2 linked regions of the Caenorhabditis elegans genome follow. The protein of the gene in region 1 purifies or fractionates together with the protein of each later gene. This does not show direct contact. Each region holds a gene or a part of one and is shown in the gene's direction. Other genes may lie near its edges.

Region 1 (5,926 bases):
AAAAAAAATGAGGATAAACTTGGAAATCATTTTTTGAAAGATACAATAACAATAAATAAATATAGCATTGGCAGTAAATTAACAAAACAATTGTATTCAATTTCAAATAATTTTTTAGCGCGATTTGAGAGACAAGAATACGGTATCCTGTCTTGAAATGGCCTAATTCTTTTTTTCAAACTGCCAATAAGAGTGTGCATCTTTAAATTGTCTGTGGTTCACAATGTTCTCTAGTGTTATATTGAAAAACATACTATTTTGGAAAACTAATTGATAGGGATTTCTGATTTTATTCGTAACCTAAAATGGTGGAAAATGATGCAGATGAAACAATTTTGGGGTGCGGTTGCTACATGAGTACCATTAATATTTTTTCAATATACAGACACATTTTTGGAAAATCTCATTTCAGATTGTTTCTTAATTTTTAAAGAGAAAATTTGCTGCAATAAATACCAAAACTTATCACTGACGTCAACGAAAGTACTAGTTTCTTAGACTATGATTAGCCACTTGTAATTGCCAGTTTTCCATCTTTTTTAGCTCTAAATTCTACAAGATTTCAATGTTTTTCTCAAAACTAGAATGCAATTTTACGAACTCTCGTTTTTTTTCTGTAGCTCACTAAGCAATTTGGAGAAAACTCGTGGGAAAATTCCATAAAAATCACCAGAAATTTTGTAGCGAAAACGTATGTATATTGATGTTGGTTTGGAGGTAATACGTCGGGATTTTGACAGAATATTGTATTTGAAAAACGGGCAAATAAACGGGATTTGATCTGAATTCATTTGACTATAAACTCCAAATCTCAAAAAACGGATGACACAATTGGATACGTCACATAATTGTGATCATGCAAAAGGGAATGATTTTGGGGTTATAGATAGTTTTATTGAAATATTAGCTTTGTAGATAATTAACATGTGAAATTTGATTCAAAATTCTACAAAAGATTACTGTAGATTGAAGAATCGAATTTTCGAGTTATTTCCAGGATTCATATTGTCCCCCTGTGATTTGTGCCCCTGTAATTGCAGTATGTTTATCAAATGATTCTGTTCGCTATAGATATTGTAATTTTTCGCTGTTCACCAATCTAACCAACTATTTAAAAAATTCAGACACCATCTTCCTTGGTGTTAAATTTCTAATGGAGAAGGCAATTCCAACCGAGATATCAGCTGTTTGAGTTTTGTGCAAGCATGGTGCATAGACAAGAAAGAATGGTATAAATTTGGCAACTGAAATGCCGGTTCAATTTAAAAATTTCAGTAAATTTCAAACTGCTATTTCATAGAACTGAAATGCCGGTTCAATTTAAAAATTTCAGTAAATTTCAAACTGCTATTTCATAGAAAAAAGCATAAATCGTTTGAAATAGTTTGATAGTTGACAATTTTTGAGAAAACTTTTTTTTTTTAATAAAGATGGTCAATATATCAGTTGTCAAAGTTGAGAGAAACATGGTGCATCGACAAGAATGCAACAAACAAACTCTGGAAGCGTTTATTTCAGTTCACTACATAGTTTTTATGAAACTTTTTTGAGTAACATATTTTGAAAAACATGTCTTCTTTTTAATATAATGTTTTGTCAGAACTGGAATATTCCAGTGTTCTTCTCTTTTTTGCACATCTTTCAGGCATTCCAAGTAGGTACAAAGACAGACCTATGCCGGAGCTATTTGGTAGGCAGTGACGTAGACAAGCGGTCTCTCTCTTCGTTCGTATCGATACCAATCGATACGGTCCCTCTATAATCCGTCTGTGCATCATTTGCTCTATATAATTGAGTGAGATAGTACTGTAGATTAAGAGAGTGCAGTGCTCAGGTGAAAACGTTCCATCTGCTCCTCTCTTGTATGTTGCAAATGGCAGAAATATGCTCATTTCTTTGTTTTGTTGTTCGTCTTTGCGAGCTAGAACCGATATATTTCTGGAAACATTTATACATTTACATTTGGAAAATAAGTTTAATTTTTGAAAGTTTCCATTAAAGCTTATCGGCTTTATGATAAAATCTCAACTTATCGAAAACTAATTGTATGACTCATACGATATCTAAAACAAATAGAAAACGAGAGTCTTTGCTGTCCTACCACCCAGCAAACTTTCCATCAAAATAACGAAAACTGACCATGACTTTTTTGAAGAAAAAAAGTAATCGGTTTTTAAATAGTTTCGCAATTTCTCACCGACTAATCATTATTGCATGCATAATTTTATAAAAAGCCACGATTTGCAATTGATTCTCATCTTTGCCGTCTTTTGTTCCTCACTTTTCCATCCCTTTTTATTATTTTATCGTTCGTTTTGTTTTTCGCCTCGCTTTATGTGACTTTAATATTTTCACATTTCATCGTTTCCTCTCTTTTTAACTTCCTTCTTGATATTTGATCAGTCTTTTCTTATTATGTAATCTTCGAAAATGTTGAATAGTTCGGTAGAGCGCGACTTCCCACATTACATAATTTCCAGATATTCAAAAATGGCGACAATTATTGCAAAAATCGAGTCAAAAATCAACGAGTATTTGAAAGCAAGAAACAAGGAAGACTGGAAAGAAAAGACTTTCACTCAAGCTGAAAAGTTTTCTGGAATTCCAAGAGAAAGAGTAGGTTATATAATGTCTTAATTAAAAACAATATTTGTTTTCAGATCGTCTCAATGGCATTCCTGATGCTTTCCATCTACGTTCTTCTCGGCAACTTCCTCCCACTCTTCTCTCATATCATTTGCATCTTCTGGCCAGTCAAAGAGAGCTTCATGGTAAATTTCAACTATCTTCATTTTCATTAGAAATCAACTGAACACTCTTACAGATCCTCCGCCAACAGAAGAATCCATCAGACAACATTCTCCTCTATTGGATTCTCTATGCAATGGTTTCACTTTTTGACTATTCTGCTCTTCCTGGAGTCCCATTCTATTACTTCGCTAAAACCGGGCTCTTCCTCTCGATCACCACAAATGGCTTCGATAAACTCAAGGAATGGTCTGAGCCAGCTCTGAAATTCACCGAAACATGGGTTCTGGTGACTCCACCGCCGCCTGGAGAGGAGGAAAACTGAGCTCTCTGAATTTATGGAAATTTACGGAACTGACACTTTGACACGCACGGGATTTTTTTTTGAACATGTTTTTTTTTAAACTGATATAATTTATTTATCACCCAGCCAAATTTACACCGAATTGTATTGCTATCACAAGTGTAAAGAAATCATTGGTTTGTAAATCGAATTCTCAATAAACTCCTCGTTTCTTTCTATCAGCTCCACGTTGCTTGATATCCGACTTGTGTTTCTCTTTCATTTGACGATCATGTCCTCCAGTATATCCATCTGCAGATGGGGCTCCACCACGATTGCCACCTCGGGCTCCACGACCTCCACGTCCACCACGGGATCCTTGATATGGAGGTGGTTGAGATAAACCAGGTGGTGCAGAAGATCCAGCTTCATCCTCTTCTGACGATGTTTCTAGTTCTTGGCTGAAATTAATATTCTCATGATTTTAATTTAAAAGTTGCAGTGCAATATGAATTTAAATCTGACCAAAAACTAACTTTAATCTTTCAATATTGAATTCTCTTCCATCAAACTCATCATCGTATTCATCATCATAAACTCCATTTCCTCCATCATTCGGGGTCTCGTAACGATACTTATTATATGTTGGCCGAATTGCCACTTTATCTGCTTCACTGATTTTTAAGGAGTTCAATGCCGAATACTTTTTCGAAGTCGCAAGAGGAACAAGATTCTCAGCATCAACAGCAATTTTTTCAGAAGGCGATGAGGGTCCAGCAGCATCTGCTCGGATTTTCTGAAGCTTCGTAAGAACTGAAGTCCGATAGGCTTCGGCATGTGCTCGAAGTTCAGCTTGCTGATCGACTGGTGGAGATGGTGGCCGATCCGAGAGGATTGGGGCGAGAGAGAAGAGGTTCTATAAATATAAATATTATAAAAATGATGGATCAAGAAATAACTGACCGATGCAGATTTCGTTTCATTATTCTTTCTTGTCTCCTCATCTTTTGCCCGTTTGTCTGCCCTCGCCAACTTCTCAATTTCATCCGATGCAGTGAAATCCAACGGTGGCCATTCTCCTGATCCTATACCAGCTCTCAACTCAACATTTTCCAAACGCAGAAGTTCCAGTGGAAGATTTTCACGAGACAGCAAGCTTGCCAGTGTGACTTCAGAATCGTAAGAGAAATGACGAAGTGCGAGCTGTAAAATTAAAATTTGAAAAAAAAATGTTGTAGATCCATATTCCAATTAACGTACATGTACGAATTCAGCAGAGAAATGTGGTAAAATCTCGCGAATCGATGCTATCTGGGCTCTGACAAGTTCATCAAGAGGAGCTCCAAGATTTTCCAAGTAACCACATCTACGAAGTCGCTCAATTGTTTCTACTTCAAGTATATGTTTCGAATCTTCAATTGAAGAGACAATTTTCGGTGAAAACGAACTTAAAAGATTGTCATGTCCCATTTCAGAAGCGTAGCCGACAAATCTGAAATTTTTCAAAAATTCGTTTTTTCAAGTAGAAAATTAAAAGTTACCTAGATGCTTTTTCCAATTCCTGTCGAACTCTTTCTCTAACCTTGTACTTTGTGTTCGGAGCCATTTCAATGAAAACTTCTAAAATTGATTGCAATGCGAACCGACGTGCCAAGAAGACTTTTCTGAAAATTTACACTTATATAAAAGGCAACTCTGAAATAGGTTTACCTAACATCAGTGTTTTAGATTTCTCGCTTTTCGCCCTTTTCGTTTTTTCATATTTTTAGCGAAAAAATATTTTTTTTTTTTGCTTTTTCGAAAAAAAAGTGAACGAAAAAGAAGAAAAAACGAAAAATTCTGATATACTGAAGAATTCATGAATGTTTAAGTTTTACAATTATTCCAAAAAATCACTCTCGAAAATATAAGTGACAAAAAAATTTTGGTGGAAATATTCAAGTTTTGAAAATACAGTTTCAAATTAAAACTTTTTTTGTTTTTTTTTTCGTTTTCTTCTTTTTTTTAGCTAAACCTTTTTTCGCTTTCAAAAAATTTTTTCCATGTTTTGACAAAATGTTCATCTAAATTTTATGGTTTCTAGTTCAATTTCCATCTTTTTCAACACAATTATTATGTACAAATTGATAATTTATAACTACCTCAATGGAAAACCATCCAATGCCATCGCCACATCAAACATCATCGGATAATCGTAAAAATTGGTTATTTTTTCAAAAATTTCCGGAATTCGAGTCATCCAGATTTTCGAAACTTTCATACTTTGCTTTTCCAGAAAATCGGTAATTTTTTGGGCATTTTTCACGGAAGCTCCAACAGCCACGAGCACTTCAACACATAGATTTGCATATTTTTGACGCATCGGTGAATCTCTGACGCAATTTTCGAATTGAGGTGCTCCATAGGTTAGAAGACGGTCGAATTTCTGAAATATATTTTTTTAAATTTAAAATTTATTAAATTTGGTTCAATATTTTCAAGTATCTCTTCTATCCAAATTAATCCAGCCACTTGATCTCCAGACTTTTATCAGATTATGACCAAACTAAGATTAACAGATAGATTTGCAAATAAATCGGATTTTTCAGAATTACAAAAAATCTGAGGTTTTGGATTATACTGGATGATTGGAAGATGATCTGTATTAGGTGCTTATTAAGAAAACTTATCGAATAAAATGAAATTGTAGAGATAAGGAAAACGACTGTGCATTTTTTGCAAAAAAGTTATAACGAAATTTTTAGGAAATTTCAGGGAAATTTCATTTCGTACATTTTTACATTTTTTCGAGTTTCGAAAAAAAACCGAAAATTTCAGTTATATGATTTGCTCTGTAAACACATCGAAAAAAAGCGGCAATCGTTTAGTCTAAATTTGTCCACAAACTAAAACTTT
Region 2 (7,015 bases), on another chromosome or scaffold:
AAAATCGTGGATAGTGTTCAAAGTTGATTTTAAATACAACAAAGAATTTGGTTTTCGTTGAAAAATCATTTGGCATTCAAATTAACGCAATACCAATATTGTTTCTCGTTTTTCAGCTTGTTCAAACAAAACACAACCTCTGAGCTCATCATGTAATACACAGAAATATTTGTGTTGCCTTTGCTGTCTCTGCTTTCCCCTTTCTCAATTTCAATCGATATCCGCATTCCGCCTTTTTTTTTCAAGCAAATCTATCCACACAGGATGGAAAATATTGCAAGATGGCTTTGAAGATGAAGACGAATGGGTGAAAATAAACAAAAGTGAGATGTTAGGACATCTCATCTTTGCCTATGTTTTAATCTAAGAAGCTTTCTTTAGTTTCTTGCCCTAGATTAATCTCATCTCTCAGCACTTTAGCACATTCCTCATTCCTTTCAGTTCAAAGTATTTCGAGCAAATAACCCCATAACAAAATTTATAACTGTGGAACAATGTGGGCGAGATCACAATTTATTGTGTTTTTCGGCTCGCAGAGCACATTCATTCTTTCTACTAATGTTCATAGCAACGGGAAGTACAAGTAGGCTAAAGGTCGATGCATGCTTTTGTTTTTTTTTCTTGGATTTTTTCTTGGAAATGAGCATGCGTGTTAATTTTCTAAGAAAACTTATCAAGAATTTTGGGCGATATTTGGTTGATATGAGGCGTTGTTCATATTTGTGGTATTATGGCTCAAAATCTAAATAATGTGTTCTAATTAGGGGTGGCAAGAGTGCGACCTAGGTCGCTAGGTCGCTGTTTTCATTTAGGTCGCATCGCGACCTAGGTCGCATTGCGACCTGCGACCTAGCGACCTGGGTCGCATTGCGACCTGCGACCTAGCGACCTAGGTCGCATTGCGACCTGCGACCTAGCGACCTGCGACCTTGCGACCTGGGTCGCATTGCGCTTTGCGACCTGAAGTACTGACATTTTTTATACTAACAAATTGCTACAAATCATTTATTTTACATTGTTTTCGATTTCTTATCCATAAGACACCTTGTCGAAAAAAGTTAGAACAGCCGACATCCGCCGGATTTGCTGCTTTTTTCTACGTTTTTAATTCGAAAAGTGGAAAATTAAATTTTAGAAACAACAAAAACCACAAAAACGTGAACTTTTTGAAACAATTTGCTGAAATGCATGGTTTTATTTGTAGAAATGAATTCTTTGTTCCGTACTTTTGAAAAAAAACTACGCATAAACTTATAAAATCTTAATAGAGAAAATGTTATTGGAATATACATATTCTGCAATCTTTAGTTTTCGAGTTATACAGTTTTCGAGTTATACGATTTTAACAACTCAAGTGAATCAAAACCGAAAGAGAACAAAATGTCGGTAATTCAGGTCGCAATGCGACCTAGGTCGCTAGGTCGCAGGTCGCTAGGTCGCAGGTCGCAATGCGACCTAGGTCGCGATGCGACCTAACCCTCTAGGTCGCAGGTCGACCTAGGTCGACCTATAGCCACCCCTAATTCTAATATATCAGGAGATGTTTAAAAATAGTTCATGACTGCCAGATAAACACACAATTTTCAAAGCAATGTATCCGTTTTGTTGTTGTCAACTTAGGTATTAGTGCATGCGTGGTTGTAATAAGCACAAAGCTGAAATATCTAATTTTAGGAAAAGCACGTAAACTTTCTTGTTTTATCATTATCAAGTTTCACTGTAAAGTTTTTTATTATTTTCAAGTTGTCTATGGTGGAGAAATAAAAAGGTTATAGTTGAAACTTTATTGTCTTATCAGTAGTCAAAAAATTTTTGAAAACCCTCACTTTTCTGAGGTGTATTTTCTATTTTTCCAGAAGTCATATCAAACATAATACAGTAGGGTTCTAGCAAACTTTAGTGAACATTCATTGTTTGAGTGGTCTTTCCAGTTGCAACAAATACTACGTATTTAGATAAATATCAAAAAATTATAAAACCTAGCTACTGTACCAGCCAAAAATTAGCTAAAATGATGATTTTATCTTTAAAAAAAATTCAAACTAGTGTTTTAACCAGCAACAGTGTAAACCTTTATAGAAGTATATGTGATTCGTCGTCAAAAATGCAAGGCAATCGTTTTTTTCAAGTTTTTTTAATGATAATGCTGAAATCTTGAAAGTTTGCTGAAATGTACTAAAAACTGAGTACTACTTTGTATTTATCTGGCTGTAACTGTTTGTGAGCTGCAATTACTTTAATACAAACCAACATTTTTATAGCGCTTTTTCAGAGCAAAATACATGGCGTAAAAAACAAGTATGTACATGTGTTTTGTTTGTAACTTTTCTTTTGTTGCTTGGTAAAGATGTCAATTTAATATTGTTATTGAATATCACAATATAATGTAGGCAATCTGCTACTTCAAACATTTGAGACAGCAAGACACGCAGGCATCTCGACAAAACGGCGCTGCTGGGCAGAACAGGCCGGCCAGTGTCGGCAGTGGAAGAGGGCGACGGCGACCGTCCGTCTTTTGGCCGCATGTTCTCCCCCATTTTTCCTCTCCCTTGCAAACACTTTTTATTCTCTTTCTACGGTTTGCAATTCTGCCAATTCTGCAGTGTTTCGGCGAAATGAATTTTCTTAGTTTAAACTGGGAAACTATTAAGCGGCAGTGTGATAGGCTTGGTTGCCACAAAAAAGTTACTCGTTTTGTTTTGCAAATTTACAAAATTTTTAACAAGTTGCTAAATTCCTTTTTTAAGTCTTTTTTAAATATACAATTCCAATGCAAAAAAATATCCCAATGCGTCACATGTTCTATATTTTCCTTCATCACTCCTCGTCTTGCATGTTTTTCAAATACAACTGTTATGTGAATACCCTTTCTGAAAGAAAATTATTATTTACGCCCAACGTTCTTTCAGTTGACTTAACATCACTCAATAGTTTCCTTTTTCAGTTACTTGGGTATACTCATAATGGAAGAACCCCACCCAGCACCAAGGAATGATCGAGATGCGGAAGGTGAAGAGGCTAGGCACGCTTTAAGGATGGAGAGACAACTTGCAATTCGTGAGGGACGTTATCTGCCTCCACTCCCACAACTTCCACCATTGATCCAGCTGATTCCTGTGCACCGCGCTCAGGCGAACGAAGCTGTCGATAGAGCCATTGAATTTCAGCTAAACCAGAGGCGGCAGTTTTTGCTGCAACACCTTCGACCTGAGCATTTTCAGCCTGGTGGATTCTTTGATCCGCAGCCAGAGGGAAACTATCATCCTTTGTCTCCACAACATAGTGACGAAGAGCTTGATGACGCGGAAGAGGAGATTGAGAGACAGCGACGAATCCGCCAAAACTGGAGAAACTACATGAACCAGAGAGTTGATCCCATTCCACAAGAGATCGTTGACCGCTTGCTCCGGGAATACGACAATTGGGCAAGAGCCGCGTTAAACAATAACAATGGAAATTTTCGAAACTACAATGCGATGCTCTCCCCATCACCATCTCCATCACCAAATGCATCACCAGCACCGTCAGACGACGAAGATCCGATGGAGCACGTGAATTCTGATGATGAAGATGTCGAGATGCTTAATGCTCAAATGATGGAAATGCGTCCCAATCAGCCGAGACCAAGAAAGCGTCATAATTCTCAAGGACCATTACCGATCAAAAGGAAAAGAGTCACTTTCAAGGAGGACTCTTCAGATGAGGTTCGGAATTTTTCGGGCTTTTGAAATTTTTTGCAAAACACCCAAAAAATTTTACAATATAATCATACAAAATTCAAAATTTCAGGCCATCAACTCATTCGATGAGGACAGCTCCGATTGCAATGACAATGTTCCAGTCAACCGTAAACGTGAGGAATAAACATAATTAATTCAGCGAGTCAGCTAATGTCAAAATGTTTAGAATATGACGACGACGACGAGGGATTTTTCGGAGGACCCCCGGCACGCCACAACTCCTTTGTTGCATAGAAGTAAATCTCAAATTAACCAACTTTTCTTCAACACACTTTTACCAATTTTTCTAACGAGAAACTACCGGTTCCCCGGTGGCACCGTACGCCATTTTCTGTGAATGTTTTTTTTCAAACCCCGTTTTTCTTTCTTTCTTTCCATTTCTGTCCGACTCATTTCCGCCACATTTCCTCGCCAATCCACTTCCCCGCACCACTTGGGATCTCGTTTCATTTTCATGACTGTTCTTCTGGAAATTTAATCACAAAGTCCAAAACTCATTTCTCATCCTGTTTTATACTCTCAATTTACTTTTTGAATTAACATTATCGTCATTAATTTTAATTGGGAATTTTGAACATAATACAATTTTATGTGAAATTACAACCTAAAACATAAATATCACAGAAAAATACATAAAGATTGGAATGTATGTGAAACTGTAACTAGTAAAATTGTTCAATATGATCGATGGGTTTCTGAGTGATGTAGGACAGATAACAATTCCAGAAGAATGCGACGACCTGAAAAATTAATTGAAAAAATAAACTGATTGATGTGTTTCGTTTCAATGGCGTGATAAACTGTCTAATAAAAATTGAACCTTTTAAACAGTTGTATTTTGGTTATGATTTATTCTTCAAACTTTGGTCAAAATGTACCTGGTTAAGTATTACTCGATAATTGAGTGGAACAAAGCACAAATTCACAACTTGAACAAATGGCCAAACCTGGAATAGTATTTTTGTACGACATAAATTTTTGAGTGCTTGGCAATAATAAAAAATGATTTGGAAGTTAGTTAGGTTTCACGCTGACGTGGCGCATGTTTTCTGTCAAAAATTCACTTTTATTGTAATTTTCATTACGTGTAAATTGCTTCTAAATCAGAAAACTTCTTAATAAAGCTTTGCTGATCGAGATAATGTTTTGAAATTATATATGTATTACTTCACAAAATAAGCAATTCTACTACAATCAACCTTATTTTTCACATAATTTTTAACAGTTAGAGGCCTTTAAATGTTTATAATACAAGTTGAAAAACAGTTTTCAGCAATATGGTGATGATGCTATTGATACTTTATTTTTATTCGAACTATTTCTCCTCAGCATCAGTTTTTGTTCGTCTTCCTCCAAATCTATGTTGATCCAATCCTCATTTTGTGAATATCAATGCATCCTCTTTTTATTGTGCACTCTTTCAATTTCGGGATAAAGCTCTGCTCTTTTGGCGAGGACGAGTCGCAAATGCGACACTCGCGCACACGACGACGAATCGCACCAGCGATTCACCACGTCGCAACGACAAAACTCGCATCGCCGATAACGAAGAGGACCGCCGGTGCGACATAGATGTCGCAATGGAAACCCGTTGGCGACTTGCGAATCGCTCCGACGACACCGCCGGCGATGTGGACTCGCAATGTTGGAGCAGTTGGATGTTGCGTGTCCGCGTCGCGACGAGCCAGCGATAGGCGACAAATGCAGGCAGCAGTGGCTCAATTGCGGCGACGACCCGCACATTTTCTCGGCTGTCTCTTTTCGTTGAGACGCCTTGCTGGGAGATGAGGCGCGAAGAGAAAGGAGTCCTCATTCTGTCATTTGGAGAGGGAAAAATGGGTGAGAGAAAAAGAAAAGGTAATAGAGATGTCCAGTGTGTGTTCCGATTAGAAGAAAGTTTCGAAATTTGAGGGAACTGGGTTGAGCGCAACGAATGTGAAATCAGAGATTAGTTGTGATAATTAAGAATGTTAAAATAGAAAAAAAATATATGTTGTGTCATTTTATGTTTTAATTTTATTAACTGATTTACCCAAAATTGAAACAAAGCATAGCGCCAGTAGATAATGTTCAAAATTGCTTTTATGGAGCTAGTTACATATTTAAGTAAAACTTTCTAAAAACTATTTCTAAAAAGTTGTATTACTATCAAAAAGTGGCATTTTCCTTGTTTACAACTATTTAAACTTCATTCGCCGACCAAATAATTTACTACAAGCTTGATATTTTTATTGTATTTTAATAATTTATGGTTGAAGATTGTATGGCTTTATACGGGCACTTTTAATTTTTTATTATTAGCTAATTCGTCAAAACTGTAACTGAGAAACTTAAGTCTAAACAATCTTTGAATTGTTCATCTAATCTTTGAATGAAGCTTTGAAAATGAATGTATTTTTTCCTAATTTTCCAAAAAAATGTATGTACCTTTAAACTTGTTGCATAAATGTTGAACCAATCTTCTTTTAGAAGATCCCACGACTTTTCCGCTGATTGGTGTTGCAATAGCCGGAGATTGAACAGTATTGCGGCGTTAAAGCAAGGACTAAAACAGAGCTGGAAAATTGTATTTTAAAGGTTGTTATTTTTATAAATTTGATGTTAATCACCTGGTCAATGCAAAGTTTTTTAACAAGAAGTAGTGATTTATTATTTCCTTTCACTTTTTCCAGCAAACGAAACCATATGAACAATGATGGCGCCTGAATAAACTATAAAAAAAATTTCTTAAAGGCAAGTTTCACCATAAAACAACTTGACAAAAATGAAAATCGGGCCGTCCTCCAACGATCCCATTCTTGGTTATGCGATAAGTATTGCGCTAAACAGTCACCAGATCCACTGATTGTTCCTGGAAAGTACTCTTCATATTTCCAAATTTATAACCAATTATCTATCCTCTTTCTTCTATCAAGCAACTTGTCTTGCCTGAACCAAACCATCACAACACGAAAGATGCGCAAATACATTGTTGGCGCGTTTTGTGTGCACAATTTAGTTTTTAAATCATAGAGTGGTCAATTTTAATTATGTAATCGGTTTTTTGCTGTCACCCTGATATAAATTTTAAATATTTGATTCAATACGTTTTCGATCAATTTTTTTTAAGTTTTGTTCATTTGTTTATTAAATATGAATATCAGGCTATCACGTTTCAGTTTATCGATAATTCGATTCCGGTCAACCAGAAAAAGTCAATTGGGAAACTTCAATTCTTGGATATATCCTGTTTTTGGGAAATAGTTGTCTTAAATTAGCAGAAAGATAAGATAAAT

The links. The genes of interacting proteins can lie anywhere in the genome.
Region 2: the proteins of C06E1.1 (region 1) and T18D3.6 fractionate together in Caenorhabditis elegans (co-fractionation; one large-scale study listed by BioGRID). This does not show direct contact.

What each region holds. Positions count from the first base shown.
Region 1 is NC_003281.10:8,603,354-8,609,279, forward strand, and holds C06E1.1 (HVA22/TB2/DP1 family protein), read left to right. Parts: upstream 1-2,478; 5' UTR 2,479-2,490; coding exon 2,491-2,616; intron 2,617-2,660; coding exon 2,661-2,771; intron 2,772-2,824; coding exon 2,825-3,073; 3' UTR 3,074-3,245; downstream 3,246-5,926. Other genes in the region: C06E1.9 (ASCC2 family CUE domain-containing protein), read right to left, coding at 3,246-3,492, 3,568-3,947, 3,995-4,234, 4,292-4,523, 4,573-4,695, 5,173-5,456.
Region 2 is NC_003284.9:12,446,954-12,453,968, forward strand, and holds T18D3.6 (uncharacterized protein), read left to right. Parts: upstream 1-2,938; 5' UTR 2,939-2,963; coding exon 2,964-3,704; intron 3,705-3,789; coding exon 3,790-3,853; intron 3,854-3,906; coding exon 3,907-3,974; 3' UTR 3,975-4,402; coding exon of another isoform or gene 4,403-4,480; 3' UTR 4,481-4,490; downstream 4,491-7,015. Other genes in the region: T18D3.9 (Mitochondrial inner membrane protein Mpv17), read right to left, coding at 4,403-4,480, 4,619-4,687, 6,168-6,296, 6,350-6,442, 6,485-6,591.